2 linked regions of the Caenorhabditis elegans genome follow. The protein of the gene in region 1 interacts with the protein of each later gene in a pairwise test. Each region holds a gene or a part of one and is shown on either strand. Other genes may lie near its edges. The genes, in order: mog-2 and rnp-3.

Region 1 (3,923 bases):
GGCGGCGGTTTGAGCGGCCGACATCTGGAAGTTGTGGATTTTTTGAAAATAATTGTTTTAATGGTAGAGAGCCAGTTTTTTTTTGGTTTTTTTTGCCAAAACTGACCAAAAAAAATTTTTATAATTGAAAAAAAAAGATTTTTCAAAATATTTTGCAAAAAAACTAGTGAAAGCCGATTTATTTTTGAATTTCTCACCGATTTTCTACATTTTTGTATTTTCCGGCTTTTTTTATCGGTTTTTCATTGTCACATTTTCAGTCATTTTTCAGCAAAAAAAGTTGAAAACTCTAAAATTAGCCAAAAATCGATAGTTTTTGTGAAAAAAAAAGTCTAAAATTATCGATTTTTAGGGTAATTTTAGAGTTTTAACGCATTTTTTTAAGGGTTTTGAAGTTTTTTTTTTGCGGAAAAATGACAAAAAAACACAAAAAATGGATTATTTTAGGCGAGAATTCAAAAAAAAATCCGCGTTTTTTCCAATTTTTAAACCTTTTTTTTCCAAATAGATATTTGAAGGCGCTGGGAAGTTCCCAGTGGGAACCTCTCAAAATTAATAAAATAATAAAAAATAGCCGGAAAACACAAAAATGGCTGAAAAAGGATTTTTTTCTAACTTTTTGTTGCAAAAATTTCAAAAAATCAAATATAAAAAGGCACGGGGAACCTTTGAAAAATCGATAAAAATATCAAAAATAATAGGGGAAATATTGTTTTATGGTATATAAAAATTACAAAAAAAGGGAAGACAGACTGGGAAAAAATTGGAAAAAAATGAGAATATAAATAAAACAAGGAGTATCATTTTAACATTAAAAAAATCAAATAAAATAAATAAATAAATTTTAGCAGCACATTCTGCAATTTTCAAGATTTTTCAAGACTCCATCGCTTCCCCATCGGCACCATTCTGATCCATCTGACGATTCCATCCCTTTTCCGGAACCTTTCCCGATGCCAGAATCGACTGAAGATAGTTGACTTCACTGAGTGACTTGGCATTCTTGATCGCTTCCTTGATCTTCTCCCGATCTTCATCAGTAAGCCGAGCACCTCCACCCGAACTATTCTCATTTGGTTCAATTTCTGATGGATCTTCTGTATGAACACTCTTCTGAATCGCATCTCTCGCCTTCTTTCCACTTTTTCCTTTGAACATCTTCTTCGCAGCTTCACGTTCTGTCAGTCTGACTCGATTGAAGTCAATCACTCGAACCGTCGGCAGCTTGTAGATCATATACATCCGATAATTGTCCTTGTGAGTTATCGGATTTCCGATAAATGTCACGTACTCGAGCTTCTTGCATTCTGCCAGTGGCTCAATGTCTCCGAGCTCGCAAATGTTGTTGTTGGTCAGTGCAAGAGTTTTGAGATTTGGAAGTTTTGTGGCAATGTCGGGTGCGATATAGCTGAAAATATGGGGTAAATTGGTGGGAATGGAGCTCGAAAATGTGGGAAAAAAGCAGTTTTGCAATGAAAAATGGAGGGTTTTTAATTTTTTTTCAGGAAATAGTAACCATAAAATTTAAATTTTTGAAGAATAAATTAGAGAAAGTATTTTAAAAATTTGAAAATGACCAAAATTTTAGGATATTTTCTGAAAAATCGATTTTTTCCCCTACTTTCCGAAAAAAACTTCGATTTTTCGAAAAATGGCTTAAAATTTTTCGAACTTTTTCAGGAAAAAAATTATATTTTTCCTATGTTCTTTCATAAAAAACTGATTTTTTCGTTTTTTTTTTTTGGAAAAAATAGCGAAATCCGGCTAAATCTGAATTTTTCGCCAACTTGCCGAAAAAAAAATTTGGAAATTTCATGAAATTTCAGAGCAAAGAAACGTTTTTTTTTCAATTTTTTAAATTCAATTTAGGGAAGTTTGTCAGAATTTTCCGGTTTAAAATTTTTTAAAACCCTATTTCAAGCTGAAATCACCGAATTCTGCCAGGAAACCCCATTTTTCGGTACTTTTCAGTCGAAAATAACCAAAGTTGGGTACAAATCGACTGGAAAAGCACTAAAACACGGATAAATTGGCAAAATTGGAATTTTTAGCTAAAATTTGGGCTTTTCCAGCAAAATATGGTGCAAAATTCTATATTTTTAGCTAAATTTAGCCACTTTTCGCTCGTTTTTCGGAAAACTACGCACTTGATTCGATTATTATGAAGATACAGCGTATTCAAACGAGAAAACGTCGGAAAATTGTCCAATTTCCTGATATCGTTGTCAGTCAGATCGATGACATCGAATTGATCCCTCGTCACTCCCATATTCTCGATTACGGGGATTTTTTGGCCGCGCAAGTTGATCTCCCGCATATTGACCGAATTGACGAATTGTGGACGCTCGGCGAACAGCTCAGTCGTGAGACGGACCATTTTTCGCTGGAATTAGGGGGTTTTCAATGTAAAAAATAACAAAAAAACATAGAAGATAGACAAAAAGTCGGCTGCAAACCGGTTAAACATCAAGAAAACTTGAAAAAAATATATATGAAAATTACAGAAAAAAAATACATTTTACATAATATATCACACGAAATATTTAACAGTTGGACTATATTTTACATGAGATCAAATTATTCCACAAAATAGTCTATTTAACCATGTTTTTCAGCATTATTCACGAAAAATCAGTGTAAAAATATAGAAAATCCCTCGATTTCTCTGAAATTACCATTTATTCCAGCTGAAACGTCCATTTTTGTTCATTTTCTCAACTGTTTCGGCTGAAATAAATGCTGTTTCTAGATAAATCTAATTTTCAATGAAAATATGCTGGAAAACATAATGAAATAGGTCATTTTGTAGAATTCCCATGGTCAAAAATTATAAAAAAGCCCACAGCGCAACGAAAATGAAGACAATTATAACGAATGGAAGGTATTGAGCGAGCATATCCGTGTTACGAACGAAGCTTCCTTTTGTCAGTGAATACCACGCCAAATTGATCATATTCCAGTCCTCGCGCTCATCGTAGCGCATTTTGTTGAGAGCCAGAGCCACGTGCGAGTGACAATTATCGCAGATGAGATTGTGCTGGAAATAAATGAAATATTGATCGGAAAAATCGATTAAAAACCGTACAGTTCTAGTTTTATACGTGTCGGAAGCATCTTGAACTGCTCTATCGAAGACTTCCGCGCCACCTTCCACCTTTTCCGGGCCTAATTGCCAGTATCTTGTGGGCCAGCCGAATCCCATGTCGTCTTCCTAAAAATATTCTACTTTTTGGAAGTAATAAATTGAATTTGGGCACAAACCGCCACATAATAGCTCCCAGCAAAGTCTCGAATGATTCCACGGCTATTCGCGATTCCCATGTGGCCGATGAATGGGAAAAACCAACTGAAACAGCATTTTTAGCTGGATTATTGGGATAAAATTAGATATTTCCTACGTCAGGCATGGAATCGGAGTCCAAACAATGCAGTATGGATACCGATTGTTTTCTGGGCAGATGTCACGGTCGGTGAGCGGCATCATTGACCTAGAAATGGAGATAGACACTGGTGAATTGGAAAAAAACGAGCAGATCAGGTGATTAAAACGTTTAAAATGTATGAAACAAAATTTCGTGATAATTTTAAGCCGAAAAATCAAAAAATCGCCTCAAAATTGAAGGAAAACAATCGAAAAACGCAAAATTCTGGAAAAAAATAAATCGAAAATTCAAATGTCCGCAAACACCGCGCGGCGAAACTGCACACAATGCGCAGTATTGTACGCGCAAAAAACTTGGAATAATAAGAAAATTTAATATTTATTCGGCAACTAAAAATAGGAAAATTCTAATTTAATTGGAATTTTTATGAACAAAAAAGCCAAAGCGGAAATTAAACCCTACCGTACTACCCATTCCTAAAGGCGCATAAGTCTTTATCAGGCAAAGATCGAAAGAGATGCTATCAAATTGCGGTATGAA
Region 2 (3,923 bases), on another chromosome or scaffold:
AATTGAAGTTTGCTCCATTTTCTGCCCGCGGCCTAGAAACCTCCGTGGCCGAACAACAAGCGCGCTCTACTGCACTCTTTTTATTTTCGTATTTTCAATTTAATTTCAATAATTTTTATCGGTTTTCTTCGATTTTTTCGCACTTCCCCCCAGTATTTTTTCAATTTTTCCGATAAAAATACAAATTTTCCAGCTAACAATGGCAGAAGTTGCGCCGAACAGCACTCTGTACATCAACAATCTCAACGAGAAGATCAAAATCGATGAGCTGCGAAAATCGCTCGTCGCCGTCTTCAAACAATTCGGCGAAATTGTCAGTGTGATGTGTTTCAGGACGCTGAAGATGCGCGGGCAGGCTCATGTGATTTTTAAAGAGGTTTTGCAGAAAATCCGAGACTTTTCCCTAAATATTGAAGAATTTTCAGCTCCCCGCCGCATCTGCCGCCCGAGAAGCGTTGAATGGTTTTCCATTTTACGAAAAGCCAATGGTACTATATTTATCGATTTAATTTCGATTTTCTCATTTTTCTCCGCTAAATCCCGCTGAAATATCGATTTTTCCAGAGAATTCAATTCGCAAGGGAGGATTCTGACGTCGTCGCCCAGGAAAAGGGGACATATATCAAGCGGGAGCCCAAATATCTATCGGAGAAGATTCTGAAGAAGCCAAAGAGCCGAAAGAAGGAAAATGGAGGCGATGGACCAGCGCCGCCCAACAAAATCCTATTTTGCACGAATCTTCCAGATTCGGCGACCGCTGAAATGCTTGAGATTATGTTCAATCAGTGCGTGGCGTTTTTCCAGCTGAAAAATTGAAAAAATTGGCTGAAAATTCGAGATTTTCACGAAATTTGCTCCAAAATGTTGATTTTTCAGTCAGAAATAGATGTTTGGGCAGTTTTTCTCAAGCTTTTTTCCGATAAAACTGGAAATTTCACGTTTTCTGCTGAAAATCATGGAATTTTACCTAAAAATTCATTTTTCGGCTTAAAATTACGAATTTTATTTTAAAAATTAGCGTTTTTTTGCTGAAAATCGATAAATCAAAAAGTACAAAAATCTAAAATTTCGTAAGAAAAATTGCATTTTTTTTTCCCTAAAAATTCAATTTTAACTCCAAAAATTGAATTTTCCCCGTTTTTCACTCAAATAGTCACCTTTTTGGCTGAAAATCACGATTTTTAGCTCTGAAATTTGATTTTTCAGCGGAGATTTGTAATTTTCGTCTTAAAATGTAAATTAACGGCTCTAAAAATAATATTTTCCACTATTTCCACTCAAAACTTCCAAATTTTTTTCCGAAAATTACGATTTTCTTCTCAAAAATTGAATTTTTCAAGTAAATTTGGAAATTGTTGGTTGAAAATCCGATTTTTCCCTAATTTTCACACGAAAAATCTTTTTTTTGGGCTTAAAATGATGAAAATTGTAAATCTTCGACTTAAATATCACCTTTTAACTGCATTTTCACACCTTTTCACTCAAAAATTTCAAAAATTTGATTGAAAACCATGATTTTTAACCTAGAAATCGCATTTTTCTACTGATAATTTAGAAAATTTTGCAGAAATTCTCATTTTTTAACTCAAAAAAACCTCCATTTTCCCCTTAATTTTCATCATAAAACCCCAATTTTTTAAAAACAGTTTTGAGTGGAAAAGTCACCTTTTTGGCGAATTTTTCAAGTAAAATTAGAAACTTTTGGCCGATAATTTCAATTTTTAACTCTAAAATTGGGAAATTTCAAATTTCCGGCTGAAAATCTCGATTTTTAACTCAAAAAAGCCCGTTTTTTCCCCAATTTTCACTCAAAAATTCAAATTTTTCCAGATTCGCGGGTCTCAAAGACATTCGAATGGTTCCAAATCGTCCAGGAATCGCTTTTGTCGAATTTGACACAGATTCTTTGGCAATTCCAGCACGTACAACACTCAATAACTTCAAAATCTCGGCGGAGCACACGATGCGTGTCGATTACGCTAAAAAATAAATGGATCTCTCTGGAATTTGATGAAAATTTTAATTTATATATATTCATATATTCAAATGTTAAATATTAAATTTTTTTCAAAAAATCGATTTTTCTGTTTTTTTTTTTGCGATTTTTCGTGGTTTTTTGCCATTTTTCCATATTTTTCACCATTTTTTCGCCCTTTTTTCGACTTTATCCACTTTTTCAGGTTAAAATGGCCGACATCAACCCGAATCACACGATCTATGTGAACAATCTCAATGAGAAAGTCAAGAAAGATGGTACGGACGATTTTTAGCGTGGAAAAATGGATTTTTGCGAAAAAAAAACTGGACAAAAGAATGGAAAATTCCCATTTTCAGCTAAAATTGCAAAAAAAGTTTTCTCTATTTAAAAACGTTTTTTTTTGTGATTTTAGCTGAAAAATTGCCTTTTTACAGTGATTTTCATAAAATTGAATTTTCTGTAATTTCGCACTATTTTTGATTAAAAAATTGAGTTTTTCATTAACTTTTAAAAAATTCAGCTGAAAAATAAATATTTCCCCTTTTTTGCGAAAAAAATTGAAAAAATACAATTTTTGTTGCTGAAAATCCGGAAAATCCTCGTAAAGCTCAGTTTTTCAATTTTAAGTGCAAAAAATCGCAAAACTAAAAAAAAGTGAAATTTTTCTCATAAAAAATTCAAAATTTCGAACTTTTAACCTAAAAAACTCGAAAATTCACCAAAATTTCGAATTTTTCTCCAAAAACTCAAGAAAAATCGATTTTTTTCAACTAAAAAAATTCAAAACTTGTCCAAAAATTCGAATTTTTCACCTAAAAACCCCCAAAAAATTGCGAAAAACTCAATTTTTCAGAACTCAAACGCTCTCTTCACATGGTTTTCACACAATTCGGTGAAATAATTCAGCTAATGTCATTTCGAAAGGAAAAAATGCGCGGACAAGCACATATCGTCTTCAAAGAGGTCTCATCAGCGTCAAATGCTCTTCGAGCCCTGCAAGGATTCCCATTTTATGGAAAACCAATGAGAATTCAATATGCAAGAGAGGATTCTGATGTGATTTCTCGTGCCAAAGGAACTTTTGTCGAAAAACGACAAAAATCCACGAAAATCGCCAAAAAACCATATGAAAAACCGGCGAAAAATGGAAAATCGGCAGCGGAGCCGACTCAAAAGGAGCCGCAGGAGACTGACGGACCAGGATTGCCGAATAATATTCTTTTCTGCTCGAATATTCCAGAAGGAACCGAGCCAGAACAGATTCAGACCATTTTCAGCCAGTAAGTGGCTTTGGATCACTTTTTCAGCAAAAAAAAATTTCAAAAGTTGAAGGATTTTGAGCATTTTCAGCTAAAAAAGGTGTAAAAATCCGTCAAAATTGAATAAAATTGCTGGAAATTGAGATTTTAAGCTTTTTTTGCGAAAAAACTGTCTAAATTGAATAAGAAAGCAGAAAATTGTGATTTTCAGCTAAAAAATATACTTTTATTGCTGAAATTTCAATTTTCAGCCAAAAATCGAAATTTTGGGCTGGATTTCAATAATTGAGTCGAAAATCCGAATTTCAGCAAAAAATGTTAATTTTTTATTCTAAAAATCGAATTCTCGGCTGAAAATCGCATTTTTCAGCTAAAAAATATACTTTTCTTGCTGAAATTCAGAAATTTCAGCTTAAAAATCGTGGATTTTAGCCAAAAATGGAAATTTCCAGCTACAAATCCAAAATTTCGGCTGAATTTTAATATTTTAGGGAAAAATATGGATGTTTAGTGAAAATCTGAAATTTTCAAACAAAATTGATCAATTTTCTGCCTAAAAATCATCGAATTTTTGGCTATGTATTCGCAGAAAATCAAAAAATTCACAGCTAAAAATATTAAATTATATCTTGAAAATGTGTATTTTCAACCGAAGTATCCAATTTTCAGTAAAAAATCCAGATTTC

Evidence for each region.
Region 2: the proteins of mog-2 (region 1) and rnp-3 interact in a two-hybrid assay, tested with the Caenorhabditis elegans proteins (one study listed by BioGRID).

What each region holds. Positions count from the first base shown.
Region 1 is NC_003280.10:4,322,821-4,326,743, reverse strand, and holds mog-2 (putative U2 small nuclear ribonucleoprotein A'), read right to left. Parts: upstream 2,384-3,923; 5' UTR 2,378-2,383; coding exon 2,148-2,377; intron 1,409-2,147; coding exon 877-1,408; 3' UTR 702-876; downstream 1-701. Other genes in the region: pfd-2 (Prefoldin subunit 2), read right to left, coding at 1-24; H20J04.6 (Transmembrane protein 222), read right to left, coding at 2,828-3,037, 3,086-3,211, 3,262-3,346, 3,399-3,484. UniProt on the Caenorhabditis elegans protein: This protein is associated with sn-RNP U2. It helps the A' protein to bind stem loop IV of U2 snRNA. Required maternally for early embryonic development and zygotically for germline and somatic development. Has a role in the switch from mitosis to meiosis.
Region 2 is NC_003282.8:4,171,909-4,175,831, forward strand, and holds the start of rnp-3 (RRM domain-containing protein), read left to right. Parts: upstream 1-2,180; 5' UTR 2,181-2,186; coding exon 2,187-2,253; intron 2,254-2,831; coding exon 2,832-3,258; intron 3,259-3,923. Other genes in the region: rnp-2 (RRM domain-containing protein), read left to right, coding at 200-376, 426-488, 565-785, 1,831-1,990.